Linked DNA regions of Diceros bicornis minor. The protein of the gene in region 2 interacts with the protein of the main gene of each other region in a pairwise test. Links are inferred from orthologs where the notes say so. Each region holds a gene or a part of one and is shown on either strand. Other genes may lie near its edges.

Region 1 (8,330 bases), on a different chromosome or scaffold from region 2:
CCTTTTTAAAAAATGTAAGGACGTCAGTAGGTGAATGGATTAACAGACCATGGTACATCCAGGCGATGCAATATTATTCAGCGATAAAAAGAAATGAGCTATCTAGCCGTGAAAAGACATGGAAGAACGTTAAATACATATTACTAAGTGAAAGAAGGCAATCTGAAAAAGCTGCATACTGTATGATTCCAACTCTATGACATTCTGGAAAAGGCAAAACTAAGAGACAGTAAGAAGATCAGTGTTGCCAGGGGTTGGGGGGAAGGAGGGATGAATAGGCAGACCACAGAGGATTTTTAGGGCAATGAAAATACTCTGTATGATACAATAATGCTTGAAATAGGTCATTATACATTTGTCCAAACCCACAGAATGTACAACACCAAGATGAACCCTAATGTAAACTATGGACTTCAGGTGATTATGATCTGTCAATGTAGGTTCATCAGTCATAACACATGTACCACTCTGGTGGGGGATGTTGATAATGGGGGAGGCTGTGCATGTCTCGGGGCAGGAGGTATATGGGAACTCTCTGTGCTTTTTTCTCAGTTTTGCTATAAACCTAAAACTCCTCTAAAATATAAACTTTATTTTTTTAAAAAAGATAATATGTGAGAGTGATGGAAATACTCATTATCTTGATTGTGATGATAGTTTCATGAGCGTTATATCAAAACATCAAATTTTACATTTTAGGTATGTACAGTTACAAATGTCAATTATTCCTCAATAAAGCTGTTTGAAAAAAAAGGAATGAAGTATTGATGTATAGTGCAACATGGATGAACCTTGAAAACATTGTGCTAAGTGAAAGAAGCTAGACACAAAAGGCCACATCCTGTATGATTCCATTTATATGAAATGCCCAGAATAGGCAAATCCATCGAGATAGAAAGCAGATTAGTGGTTGCCAGGGGTTTGGGGGAGAGGGGAATATGGAATGACTATTAATGGGTATGGGGTTTTATTCTGGGGTGATGAAAATGTTCTGAAATTAGATAGTGGTGATGGTTGCACAACTCTGTGAATATACCAAAAACCACTGACTGGACACTTTAAAATCATGAATTTTATGGTATGTGAATTATATCTCAATAAAGTTGTTAATTTTTTTTTAATAATTTTATTTATTTATTTTTTCCCCCAAAGCCCCAGTAGATAGTTGTATGTCATAGGTGCACATCCTTCTAGTTGCTGTATGTGGGACGCGGCCTCAGCATGGCCGGAGAAGCGGTACGTCGGTGTGCCCCCGGGATCTGAACCCAGGCCACCAGCAGAGGAGGGCGCACACTTAACCGCTAAGCCACCGGGCCGGCCCAAAGTTGTTAATTTTTTAATAATTTTTTCTTTTTGTGAGGAAGACCAGCCCTCAGCTAACATCCATGCCAATCCTCCTCTTTTTGCTGAGGAAGACTGGCCCTGAGCTAACATCTATAGCCAATCTTCCTCCTTTTTTTTTTCCCTTTTTCTCCCCAAAGCCCCAGTAGATAGCTGTATGTCATAGTTGCACATCCTTCTAGTTGCTGTATGTGGGACGCGGCCTCAGCATGGCGGGACAAGTGGTGCGTCAGCGCGCGCCTGGGATCCGAACCTGGGCCGCCAGTAGCAGAGCGCGCGCACTTAACCGCTAAGCCACGGGGCCGGCCCAATTTTTCAAAAAGACTTATAAGGTTGTTATGGACTAAATGTTTGTGTCCCCCCACCCCACCCCAAATCATATGCTGAAATCCTAATCCCCAGTGTGATGGTATTAGGACGTGGGGCCTTGGGGAGGTGATTAGGTCATGAGGGTGGAGCCTCATGAACGGGAATTGTGGCCATATAAAAGAGGCCCCCGAGAGCTCCCTCACCCCTTCCTCCACGTGAGGACACAAGGGGAAGACAAGACAACAGTCTATGAACCAGGAAGCAGGTCCTCACCAGACACCCAATCTGCTGGCATCTTGATCTTGGACTTCCAGCCTCCAGAGCTGTGAGAAATAAATTTCTGTTGTTGGTATTTTGTTATAGCAGTCTGAAGGGACTAAGACACCCCCCCTCCATCTGTCTATTCTCAGCCGAACAGCCAGAGCCTTCCTGCTAAAACTTAAGTCAGATCGTGTCGCTCCTGTGATGAAAAGCCCTCCACGGACTCAGGTAAGGTGGTCCATCGGCCCTGCTGCCCCCTTCCTGACCCCATCACCCACAATCCCGTCTCCTTGTTCCATTTTAGCCATTTTGACCTCCTCTGGCTGCAAGGCTGTGCATTTGCTGTTGCTTCTCACCAGGTGAATATCCTCCCTTGCTCCCTCCCTCCCTCAGCTCTGGACTTAGTGACTCTTCAGTGAGATCTTTCCTGACCCCCCTAATATTTAAACTTGCAACCCACAGCCCACCCCCCACCCCCAGGCCCTCCTCCCTGCTTTCTTTTAATCCACAGCACTCGTCACATCTAATACACTATGTGATTTACTCCTTTGTTTATTATTTGTAGCTCCCATTGCATGTGGGCCCTATGAGGCCAAAGATCTTTGTTTTGCTCACTGATGTGTTCCCAGCACCTGCCACAATGCCTGGCACCAGGTGCTTAATAACTGTTTGTTGAATGAATAATTATTGGAAGATAATTTAGGGGGCCGAGAAGAGTTGAGATGAAAGAAGAAATGAAGCTAACAAATATTAAAGTTGCTAAAGATTAGAACCATAAAAAAGGGCAGCATGTGAAAAGCATAGAGAGCAGCTGTGGATCTTAGACGTCCCATCTGTTTATCCAAGGCCTCTGGCCTGAGCCACCCTTAACCACCTGGCAGAAGTGCCCTGGAGCCTGTATGGGAGGAGGAGCAGAAGAGGGAGCAGGGGTCAGGGTGGGCAAGGGTTGGGAGGAGTTTGAGTTCCCCAGGGGAGCCACTTCCTTATTTCCCTGCCCATGAGGGGGCTGCATTTGGAGCCCTGACTTCAGAAACCACGTAACTAGTGAGCACTGCCCCTTTGATAGAGAGGTGAATCCCTGCAGGGCTGATGCAGGTGTGAGGGATTTAGGGCTGGGGAGGCGAATTGGTACCAGGGTTCGCTCACCAATCAGGAATGAGAAACGCTGGCTCCTGAGGAGAGAGGCTGCCATTTGAGGGGGGCAGGGATGAGTGGGCTGCGAAGACCGAAGACCGGGGGTGTGGGCTGAGATGCAAAATCCTATGCCATTAGTGATTTCTCCCCTCCCACCCAGAGCACCGGGTCTGATGGGTACTTTCCATTTTTCTCAACGGTAGCTCCCTGTTTGCTTCTCTCAGAGAACGCACCACACTCTGTAATTATCTTGTTTCCTTGTTTATCTGCTTCCCCTTCTAGGCTCTAACCTCCAGGACAGTAGGGGTCTGGTTCTCTTGTTTCCTGCTCTGGCCTGCGAGTCTAGGACAGTGCCTGGTATAGAGAGGAGGCACTTAATATACGTTTGTCAAATGAATTAACGAGCTCAGACAGACGGAAACATTCTTCTCCAAGTGCTTCTCCATAGGAGAGCTGGTGGAGGGGGCACTTTGATTCTCCTTCCTGGGTTGTGTCTCTTGTTCTGTGCTGTCACGGACACCTGGCCCCAAAGGCATGCTGTCAGCACTAGGACCCTCTGTCCTAGGTGCAGACCTTGGGCAACAGCCTGTCCTGGGCTCAGGCTTGGAGTGGTGGCTGTGGAGAAGGGGTCCTGGAATTCCTTAGCTCAGACAGGAGTATGAGAGGGATGGACTAGAGATGGATTCACGTGGGTGGGGTTGGGGGGAGAGGTGAGTATCACAATAATCTAGAAGAGAGGATGAGGCCTCACCAGCAGAAGGGCTGAAGAGGCAAGGGCACATTTGAGAAATATTTAGGAGGTAAATTAAGCATGACTTGGTGAGTGATTGGGTATTGAAGAGAAGGAAACTGGGGGACCGAGAATGATCCCAAGGCTTTAAAAGACTCAGAGCCACAGCCATCTCTTTTTGGCCTGTAGGTTCCTCCAGTCCAAAGGCACAGAAATGGCTACTGGACTCCTCTGCCAGCCCACAGGTCATGCAGGACTTACGGCGACCCTCGTAGGTATCTGGTCTGTGCTGCGCTCCGATGGACACGCTCCCTGCGGTGAAGGGTGGCAGTCTGCTCTTGGAGACAAACACACTCCGACCACTGCCGGCCAGCGAATAAGGAATGCTCTGGCGCGTGGGAGACGGGGTCAGAGGAGTCTTCTCAGGGAGACATCTAAGCGGGGTCTGCCGGAAGAACACGTGTTCCCCAGGATGGAAGGAAGTGGGCAAAGTGAATGAGGGCTGGAGGTGAAGCAGGAGGAAAGGCAGTAAGACAAATAAATAAGAAAGGGGGCTGTCGGGGCGGCCCCGTGGCATAGCGGTCAAGTTTGCGCGCTCCGCTTTGGCGGCCGGGGGTTCGCAGGCCCTGAACCCGGCGCCGACCCACGCACCGCTCATTAAGCCATGTTGTGGCAGCATCCCATATAAAGTAGAGGAAGATGGGCATGGATGTTAGCTCACGGCCAATCTTCCTCACAAAAAAAAAAAGGGGGGGGGGACTGCCCAGTGGCTCCAGCGCGCGGGGGTGGGGGTGGGGGTGGGGGTGGGGGTCGGTGTCAGGCTGAGCGCGAGGATCAGCTTGTGACGCGCCAGGCCAGGCAGCGCGTGGAAACCGAACAGGAGTTTGGATTGATCCCTCAGCCAAGGGGAAAGACACAATACTGTCCTAACTCACAGGTCACCCCGGCCCAGACCCAGAGAAGGCAGTCAAAAACCCCTGCAAGGGAGCAGAGGGAGAGGGTGCCCCCAGTTAGGGACCTCCGAGTCGCTGTACCCGAATCCCGGAGAAGCGGCTTTGGGCAAAACCATTCTCCGGAGGTGGAGAGGGGAGGAAAAGCCCTACACTCGGAACCCAAGCCCACGGAACCAGCTGGAACCTTCACTGGCCTCTTCTCCTCGCTCTTCTCTTGTTTTTACCCTCTGCTCTGCCACCATTAGCTGCCCTCCTGCGCTACCCCCCGTCCCGGGCACCACTAGTTGCTCCTCGGCCGCCCCTCCCGCGCGTGGTAAGGCCCGGCGGGCGCGCGCTCCCGGCACAGGTTATAAAGGCCCGGCTGCGGCAGCCGACTGCGGAGCAAGATGCGCCCGAAAGACTGTGGGCAGAGCTGCGCTGGGGACCGGCCGGGCCCAGGACCCGGGGATCCGGCAGCAGCCACCCCCGCACTGCCACCCGCAGCCAGTCCCGCTCCTGAGCCCTCCGCCGAGCCTGAAGCCGCTCCTGCGCACGCAGCGGCGGCTGGACAAGGAGCAGGATCTGGATCCCCATCCGTCTCGGGACCCCCAGCCGGAGTTCGCTTGGCCTCCGAGGCTGGATCGGAGGCAGGATCCCAGCGCGCATCTGCATTCTCGGCCGTCCAGGGGAATGCCCAGTCCGTGCCCGGCGACTCGGATGTGCCATGGACCCACTTCATATTTCAAGGGCCCTTTGGTCCCCGGGCCACTGGCCTGGGCACTGGAAAGGCGGCGGACATCTGGAAGACGCCAGCTGCCTACATTGGCCGGCGGCCGGGGGTGTCGGGCCCCGAGCGTGCCGCCTTTATTCGGGAGCTAGAGGAAGGTAAACCGAGTCCTCTGGACCCCGAAGCGAGTGGGACTAGGGCAGCTCCAGGGAGGAGGGGGCCCCGTCGGGTCCAGGTGCCCCGCTCCCCCGACACTCAGTCCCACCCCTCCACCCGCCCTCGCCGTGTCACTGTCTGCGGTGCCAGTCCGGTCGCCTCTTCCCCATCTCCTCTTCCCTTCTCTCGCTCCCTGATTTCTGTGGGTGGGTCAGGTGCCCGGGCCCGCGCGCTCCCTCGGCCCGCTCTGCGCGCCTGTTGCTGCGGTAGATCTGAGCACTCTCAGGGCCCCCCTCCTCAGTCTACCGCAGTGCCAGGAGCGGGGCGGGGGGCTGCGGGAGGGCGCTGCCCGGCGCGCTCTGAGCCTGCGCTGGCCCACCGCGCCCGCGATGGGGAGGTGTGTGGGAGGAGGGGGGGGGTTGCCAGCCTATTGGAGGCGGGGGTCAAGGTCGGCTTTTCCCCAGCCTGGGGTTGGGCGGGGCCTCAGGCGGAGTCTGCCCCTCCTCTTCCCTCCCATCCTCTTCTGGGAGATCTCTGGATTGGGTCTAGAGGCTCAGGTGCCCCTATTCCAGTGCTGGAGAAGTCTCTAACTCCTCTCCTCCCCACATGCAACAGGTGCAGGGTGGGAGACTGCGTCTGTGTTTATGATCCGTGAGGCTCCGATGAGCTGGCCAAGCTGCCCTCTGGGTAGCTGGTGATGAGTCAGTCTGTGGTACTTCCGCCAGCCACCTCCATTCTCCTGGGTTCCACGGACCCAGGCGTCCTGAGAGCGCAGTTCCGCCTGAGCCTGGAGGACTGTGATCTCCTTACCTCACCCAGCTCCTCCAGAAAAAAAATGAGTCCAGTTGGCCCTGGGAGCAGGGAAGGGAGTGCTGAGTACTAGGGGTATGGAGAGGATATTGGGGGCAGGAAGGGAACTCAGTCTTCTCCTCCCCTGTTGCTGACTCTCACTGTTGAGGGAGAACTGGGGATAGGGCAGGAAACAGTGGGGTACTGGTTAGTGTATGCCCCCTTTCTCCTGACCTGGCTGCCTGCTTTCTCTTGCAGTGCTGTGTCCTGACCGACCCCCGCCAGGCAAGAAGATCAGCCAAGAAGATGTGCAAGTGATGTTAAATCTGCTCGAGGAGGTCTGTACTGCCTGGCCTACCTGGACCAGCCTGAGCTTTCGCCAGGCCCCTGTTTTAATTCTGTCCTGTAGGAGTAGGAGTCTTGTCTGTTTCCTGCCTGGCTGCCTCTTTGGGGGCCCCTCTTACAGAAGGCAGGTCGATGTGGGATGTCCAGGCTGGAAGAGCTCTTAGAGCCCTCTGGTCTGATCTGTTCTTTTTTCATAAGGGGAAACTGAGTCAGGCCCCACAGTGGGTTAACGGCGGACTCTTGTCTAGTACCCTGGAGAGCTGCGAGATGGTGAGGGTTCCCCCTAGTGGCCTAGCTTCCCTCTGACGCCTGTGTACTCCCTAGCTTCTCCCACCTGTCTGGGAGATCTCAGAAACCAGGAAAGTATTCCCTGTGGATGGGGGGGTCCCTCTGCAGAGAGAGCGGGACCTGAATACGGCAGCTCGCATCGGCCAGTCCCTGGTGAAGCAGAACAATGTTCTGATGGAGGAGAACAGCAAGCTGGAAGCCATGCTGGGCTCAGCCAGGGAGGAGGTAACTGGGTAGGGAGTAGGGGGTAGGGGTATGCCATCTCAGACCTACCTACATCCCCCTCCTGCCAGGACCCGTGCCTGCCCCGCCCGCGGCCTGACCTGGGGCTCCTCTCCCCCTGCCAGATTTTACACCTCAGACACCAGGTGAGCTTGCGGGATGACCTCCTTCAGCTCTACTCAGACTCTGATGATGAGGAGGAAGAGGAGGAGGAGGAGGAGGAAGAAGAAGAAGAGGAGGAAGAGGAAGAGGAGGAGGAAGAGGAGGAGGAAGAGGAAGAGCAGCAGAGTGATCTTCCTTATGAAGACCCCGAGCTGTGAGTGCCCTGCCTTTGCACCTGAGCGGCCCCTTCTCTGAGCCTCAGTTTCCTTGTTTGCAAATAGGGACACAGACAGCGTCCCTGCCAGCAGGATTGCTGGGGCTGGTTGAGACCACCATGCTCAGCCCGGGTGGGGGAGCCCTGGGTGCACCGGGCCCTGGGGCTCCCAGTCCTGCCCTCTGACTCCCATCGCTCTCTCCCCTAGGACACCTCTGACGGAGTCGGAGTCGCTGCACCACTGCCCACAGCTGGAAGCCCTGCAGGAGCAGCTGAGGCTGCTGGAGGAGGAGAATGACCAGCTGAGAGAGGAGGTGAGGATGGGGGAGGAGGGTGCGCCCGCGGGCAGGGGGTGTTGACTCCCCTGCCCCTTCCTCTCTCCCTTCCTCCAGGCCTCTCAGCTCGATGCCCTTGAGGAGGAGGAGCAGATGCTCATTCTGGATTGTGTGGAGCAGTTTTGTACGTGAAATTGTAACTTGGGGTGGGGGCTGTCCCAGGGAGCAGAGGGAAGAACTCAGGTCTTGGAGACCTGAGTTCAAGTCCAGTCCCACCTCTGGCACTTCCTAGCTGTGTGAGCTTGGACAAGTTCCTTGACCTTTCTGAACCGTCATCTTTAGAATGGGGATTAATAATCTCAGCCCTGTTGACCTTCTCAGGGCCACAGCTGAGGAAGTGCTTTGTGCAAACTGTAAAGAGCTCAACAGAAGCTTTGAGTCTCCTCTAAGCCAGTCTCCTTTTGTTATTTGGGGCAGGGAGAGGAAGGGGGCTGGAAGCGAGGAA
Region 2 (6,870 bases):
GAAGTATTTAGCATATGTGTTGGAGAACCAGAACAACTGAGGATGCTCCAGGTTTTTGGCTTAATCAACTAGGTGGACAGTAGTGTCATTCACTGAAAAGCAGAAGACGAAGGGAGATTTAGAGGTTGATCGGATGTTTTGAACATGCCAAATTTGAAATGCCCATGAAACATCCAAGTAGAGATGCTGAGTAGGCAGCTGGGCTCCGGGCTTCTATCTAGTCTGAGATGCAAGTTTGGGAGATACCACCAAAATGGCATCACAGCCACTGAGGAGGATTAAGCCACCTGGAAAACCTGATTCAATGCAGCAGAAGGCCTGGGACTATCGCCTGGAGCAGCCAACATTTAGAGAGGTCATCCACCGAGGCTTAACCCGAGTCTTTGGCGGGGACTGTTAGGCCAAGAAGCTCTCTGCTCCTAAGAACAAAGCCTGGCCTGCTGGGAGCCACACTGGCTCCCTGAGGATGAATTGCTCAGAAATGAAGGCAACAAAAATGACCAAGCACTGGGGTGAGAGCCTGGATCCAGCACTGCCAGACGCCTGCCTCATCTGTACTTCCTCTAGCACACACGGTTAGCACACGCTTTCACTCATCCACTTTTATAAAAATTAGTTTTATTGGGGCAACGTGACATCACGAGAGAAAGCACCACACCATGTGGCAGGACCTCCTTTCCTAAGTGAGCACCAGTGCACAATCACACAGCTTTCCCACCATTCCTCACTACCAACAGCTACTACATCTAACACTAAAGACTGACTAAAATATTCTTTCTATAACATGCTGAACACTCACTTCAGCTTATTGTTGAAGCTTTTCTAAACGGACTTCCCTCTTCTGGCAGGAGGAACAATTCACCTGAAGACCTACAAATGGGGGTCTCGTGCTTGTCTGACAGTACCCAATATGCTGGTCTCACATCTGCCCAAAAAACGGCACCAGACTCACTGACCAGCCAGGGACAGACCAACCCCACATCTGTCCCACAGAGCATTCCTGGAAAGGCTCTGCACCCAAGATAAACCCCCACACCACTCACGGAGAGGGACTGTTCCAGGATGGGGGAGAGGCTAAAAGAAATTGAACCTAAACTCTTCATCAGGAGTGTCCAGGGTGGCCTTGGCTCCCCCTGCTAGGTGAGGCCTGCAGACCCTTCCACTCTTCTTTCTGGCGGCCTCACCTACAGGCTGCACCTGGGCTGACTGGGCTGCTGCGGGAGAAGAGAGAGACAGCATGAGGACTGAATAACAACAGCTAACATTACCTCTGCCCCCACAATTCTAACTGCTTTGTATAAATTTAACTGACTTCTCAAAATTATGAGGTAGGTAGTATCATCACACTCCTTTTAGAATCAAAGAGTAATTCACTAACTCTCCTGCTCGTCTCCCTGGTCTAGGCCCAAATTCTGTGTTCCCGAGGTCCGAGCTTTCTCATTCCCCGCTCCCTGAGGTTTCCCTGAGCCAGTCTCCTCCTCCCGCCAGCCATGTGGCTCTAAGCTTCTTTCTTTCACTCCCTAGGCTCTTCTTCCCCAACCCTTGAATTAGGCTGCCCTGAATCAACCAGTTCCCGGGTCCTCACCAGTCCGGAGGGCCCGCAGGGCTTCGCGCCACTCGCCTTCCATCTGAGCCCTGTAGTCCCCAAACAAGGAGCGCATCAGCTGCCTCTTCCGGGGCAGGGGGGTTCTTTCGCTGTGCAGGGTTCGGATTGCCCCAACAGCCTGCTCTCCTGCGGAAAAAAAAAAGGACTAGTGGCCTCCTCTATCCTCTCCTCCTATCGTCCTACCGCAAAGGCAACAATTCCACCCGGGCAGCACCTACAGCCCAGAGCACTGTCACCATTCACCGCCCCACCAACTCTACAGACGGGCCCCTCACTCTGTCTCGGGCTGGGTCTCCGCGTCTTGAGGCCTAGCTCCAGCTGCTCCACGCACCAGGCCAGTTCCCGAGCCAGCTGCTCCGCCTGTGATGGATGGGGGTAGTGGCTGCGAGAGGGCCTCCAGGCCCACCCCACAGCGACCCCCACGCCCCCATCCCATCCTCCGCCACCTCCACCCGCAAATCTGAGCGCACACCGCGGGCAGACTCCACCCTCCCGACCGAGGCCGCCCTTGCCTGGGCCTCCGCGCTCAAGGGTGCTTCCTCTGGGGCCGGCTCTTCGGGGGCCTTGCTGCCCGGATTCGCCACAGAGGGCCCCTTCCGGGTTTTCTTTCTCTTCTTCTGCTTCTTAGCGTCCGCCTCGCCTCCACCGCCTACGGGGCGCGCGTCCCCGCGCGCGGGGGGCCCTGGGCGGAAACGGACCGGGTGGGACCCTACAGCGGAGGGACCCGGGAAGCCGGGGCCGCGGGGCGCGCGCGCGGTACCTGGACCTGGGGCCGCCGCTGTCTCCCGAGCAGGATGTCCCAGGGCCTGGAGAAAGGGGGCAGCACGAGGATCACGGGGGCCGCCACGGCGCCAGGCCCCGCCGCCCGCGCGCCCTCCCCGCCCCGCTCACCGCCATGCGCCAGGTCGCCGCCGGAACCCACGTAGGTCCTCGGGTCCCACGCCGAATTCGCTCCTCCAGCAACGCGCCCGCGGCGCAGCGTTCCGGGCGCGAGCGGGCGGCGGGCGGCGGGCGGCGCCCGCCCGGAGCGGAGCCAGGCCCAGCTCTCACTCTGTTGTGGCCCCGTCGATCCTTCAGCACCTCACAGCCGCCTCGTTTGTTTTCCCTGGCGGTACTAGCGCCTCTTCAACCCCCAGAACCCGGCAGCAGGTCCTTGAAGAACCTGAGAGAGGAAGGTGTGGAGGACCCAGGCGGCCCCGTCAGCGGTCCCCGAACTCCTCTCCGCGCCCCGCCCTGGCGTGTGGTGAAGGCTCCCGGGCCCCGCCAGCTCTCCCGCTGTCCGCGCCTCCACGGCCGCTCAGACCCCACGCCTCGCGTCCACTCTCCGCCACCACGGCTGCGTCCTCGCTCTTGAGACACACCAGTCTCCGCTAAAACGATGTTTGCTCGGCCTGCTCTCCTAGCCTCCTTGGAAAATGTATTACCACCTTCATACGTGCAAATATGCAGTCAATTCTCATTATGTGAGGTAGTTCTATGAAGTGGCTGAGAATACTGAACCATTGCTTCTAGGGGAAATACAGTTCAGTTCCTGGCAGCCACCGTTCATGATATTTTCAACAACCTTGAAAATAACCTTGTTTTACGTGTGCTTCTGTTAAAGACACTTTTTAAAATATATGTAGTTGATTTACTAACATTGAGCTCATGGCCAACAGCACTATGACTCATGCCTGAATGAAGTTATCTGGACACATATTTCCTCCGTGAGGCACATCACAGCCTTCTTGCAGTTAGGAACACTAGACAGCACTTCAGCACTATGCTTGAGGGCCATTTTAAACAGCAAAAGCACCAACAAAAAGCACAAAAATGCAAAAAGTGTGGCACTGAATATACTGTGACAAGGACACAGGTTTACAATATAAGAGCTGAAACAAGAAAGCAGAGTGTCACCTTGGTCAGCCTCAGCTGTGAAGTCTGGTGACGGATTTTTCACTGCTCTGTGAATGTCCGTGAATGACCATGAAAGCACTAGTTTAGATTTTGGGGTTACAAATAAGTTCTAGCAAGTAGGCAAATTTGCAAATATGGAATCCACAGTAATGAAGATTGACTGTATATATAAACGTATTTTAAGGTAAAAATCATTAAAATGCATGTATCTACCACCCAGTTTAAGAACCAGAACATTATCAATATCTTTGAGGACCCTATGTGCCCTTCCTTCCAAGGTCATAATCCATTCCTCCCTTCAGAGAAAACAACTACATTGAAATTGACCATTTCTTTGCTTTTCTTGATACTTATATAACACAAATATGGATCTCTAAACAATATTGTTTAGTTTTGCACGTTTTGAACTTTAAATACATTAAATCATCTGTATGTGTTTTTTTTGTTTTGTTTTGTTTTTGTTTTTGTTTTTTGTGAGGAAGATCAGCCCTGAGCTAACATCCATGCTAATCCTCCTCTTTTTGCTGAGGAAGACCGGCTCTGAGCTAACATCTATTGCCAATCCTCCTCCTTTTTTTCTCCCCCAAAGCCCCAGTAGATAGTTGTATGTCATAGTTGCACATCCTTCTAGTTGCTGTATGTGGGACGTGGCCTCAGCATGGCCGGAGAAGCGGTGCCTCGTGCGCCCCCGGGGATCTGAACCTGGGCCGCCAGTAGCGTAGTGCACGCACTTAACCGCTAAGCCATGGGTCCGGCCCCTGTATGTGTTCTTAAGCTTGTTTTTTCCTCAGTATGTTGTGAGGGTTATGCATGTTGCTGTGTACAGCTGTAGTTCATTGTCTTCACTGGTGATGATATTCCACAGTATAAGGAGACACATCAATAAATATTTGCACTTCTTCCATTTTTTTGCTATTATTCACAATGCACTAGGAATATTCTTGTATGTCCCCTTTGTGCAGGAATTTCTCTAAGATATATCTAGGAGTGGAAAAGCAGAGTTGTAGGGTTATCCACATTTTCTACTTTCCCAGATAATATCAGCATCAATTTTCCAAAGTGGTTGTACCAGGTTACACTCCCACCAGCAGTGTATTAGAATTTATATGTTCACAGCTTCACTATTTGGTATTATCAGACTTTTAAATTGTCAGTGTGATGGGTGCAAAATAGTATCACACTGAGATTTTAATTTTCGTTTTTCTGAGCATCTTGTCATAATATTTATTGGCCACTAATGTTTCTCTTTCTATAAAGTTCTTGTTTATGTCTTCTGTTCATTTTTCTATCTGATCCACTGTTTCTTATTGAAGGCATAGAAGTTATTTACATATTATAAATATTCATCTTTTGTCAGTTGCATATGTTATAAACATCTTTTCCCACTCCGCAGCTTGTCTTTTCACTTTCTTTATAGTGTACTTTGATGAAAAGAAATTCTTATTTTTTAACAACATTGAATGTATCAATCTTTTTATTTCCCCTTTTTGTGTCTTAAGAATTTTTCAACTTGGGATCATAGAGCTAACTTCCTCTTCTAAAAGTTTATGGTTTTGCCTTTCAAATTCAGATTTTTAGTCTAACTGAAATTGATTTTTGTGTCCATGTAAAGTAGAATTCAATTTTATTTTTAAAATATGGATAATCAACTTTCCTAACCTCATTTGTGGAATTCTGATCTGCAAAGCCACCTCCATCGCAGCTCATTTCCACATATACATGGGTGTGTTTCAGAACTCTACACTTTGTTCCATTAGGCCTTTGTATGTCCCAGCACTAATGCCACTCTGGTTAACTGCCAACCTTTATAAGTCTGATATTCAAATGAGCTTATTCATTTCCATTAAAAAATGGAAATGTCTCCTTGGACATTTTTGTGAGATGAGTTAATTCTGTAGAGCATTTTGGGAAGAATTGATTCTCTGTATTAAACAATCATGAATCTAACATGAACCTAGTATACCTCCCATTTAATTAGGTCTTCTTCAATATTTTTCAACATTCAATATTATATTTCAATAAACTTCAATAAAGCTTTATAACTTTCTCCCTAAAAGTCTTTCACATTTTGTAACTAATCCTACATATGCTATTTTTAAATTGCTATTAGGATTCAAATTGGGGCACAAATCATATGTACACTTATGGTATAATAAGAAAAATATTTTATTTTTGTCCTTAGTTCATGGCACAGAGCTCCAAAACCCCTTGGAATTTCCTGAGTGATAAGGATGATAGGAGCATCTTTTGTTCTAATGAGATGACTCTTGGCCAGCCCCTAGACAGCTTCAGGATGGGGGCTGGTCACCAGAAATACTAAGCCTTATTAGAAACTTGGAACTTTCAGCCCCACCTCCCAATCTACAGGGAGGGGAGAGGGGCTGGAGACTGAGTTAATCATCAATGGCCACAATCATGCCTACATAAGGAAACCTCCATTAAAACCTCTAAACGAGGTGATCTGGGGAAGCTTCTGAGCTGGTGAACACATCCATGTGCTGGCAGGGTGGTGCACCCCACTCCACAGGGACAGAGGCTCCTGCACTTGGGACACTTTCAGACCTCCCCTATGTACCTCTTCATCTGACTACTGATTTGTACCCTCTGTAATAAACTATAATAGTAAGTATAGCATTTTCCTGGGTTCTGTGAGTCATTGTAGCAAATTATTGAATCCGGGGTGGCGGAATGTGGGAACCCCTGACTTTGTAGCTCAGTCACACAGAAGTGTGAGTGCCCCAGGCACTTGACACCTGTGACTATGTCTGAAGTAGGGACAGTCTTGTGGGCTGAGCCCTTAATCTGTGCAGTCTGCACTAACTCCAGGCAGTTAGGGTCCGAGTTGAGCTGAATTATAGGACTCCCAGCTGGTGTTGGAGAAGACACCATGTATTTGGTGTCAGGAAGGAAAAAACCACAATCTTTAATGATTTTCTTGTCTGTCTGATCTACCAATTATTGAAAAAGGCATGTAACACCCTCCCACTATGATGGTGAGTTTGTGTATTGCTCTTAGCAATTCTACAATTTTTGAAGTATATTTAAAACTATTTTATTCTGTGAATTTAAAATATTTGTATCTTTCTGGCTAAATGAACATTTCAGAATTATGTAATGGCATTCTGTTATCTACAGTAATGACTTTGGTCTTAAAGTTGATTTCATCTCATACAGCTTCAATAGCTTTCTTTTTTCATCTTCTCACTTTCAAACTTTGTGTCCTCAGGTTTTGAGTAGGTCTCCATATAGCTTGATTTTTTTTCAAAAAATCCAGTCTGGTAATCTTTGCCTCATGGAGGAAAGTTTAACCCACTGATAGTTTTATGACTTGCATCCTGCTTGTCTTTTTTTTTCCCCCCTCACTTTTT

What was found.
Region 1: the proteins of C21H8orf33 (region 2) and HAP1 interact in a two-hybrid assay, tested with the Homo sapiens proteins (2 studies listed by BioGRID and IntAct). The link is inferred for Diceros bicornis minor from reciprocal best matches to the Homo sapiens genes C8orf33 and HAP1.

What each region holds. Positions count from the first base shown.
Region 1 is NC_080757.1:41,022,751-41,031,080, reverse strand, and holds the start of HAP1 (huntingtin-associated protein 1), read left to right. Parts: upstream 1-5,114; coding exon 5,115-5,592; intron 5,593-6,637; coding exon 6,638-6,717; intron 6,718-7,048; coding exon 7,049-7,237; intron 7,238-7,359; coding exon 7,360-7,550; intron 7,551-7,758; coding exon 7,759-7,864; intron 7,865-7,942; coding exon 7,943-8,009; intron 8,010-8,330. UniProt on the Homo sapiens protein: Originally identified as neuronal protein that specifically associates with HTT/huntingtin and the binding is enhanced by an expanded polyglutamine repeat within HTT possibly affecting HAP1 interaction properties.
Region 2 is NC_080760.1:57,568,351-57,575,220, reverse strand, and holds C21H8orf33 (UPF0488 protein C8orf33 homolog), read right to left. Parts: upstream 2,609-6,870; 5' UTR 2,504-2,608; coding exon 2,498-2,503; intron 2,413-2,497; coding exon 2,367-2,412; intron 2,289-2,366; coding exon 2,119-2,288; intron 1,967-2,118; coding exon 1,882-1,966; intron 1,733-1,881; coding exon 1,586-1,732; intron 1,215-1,585; coding exon 1,075-1,214; 3' UTR 599-1,074; downstream 1-598.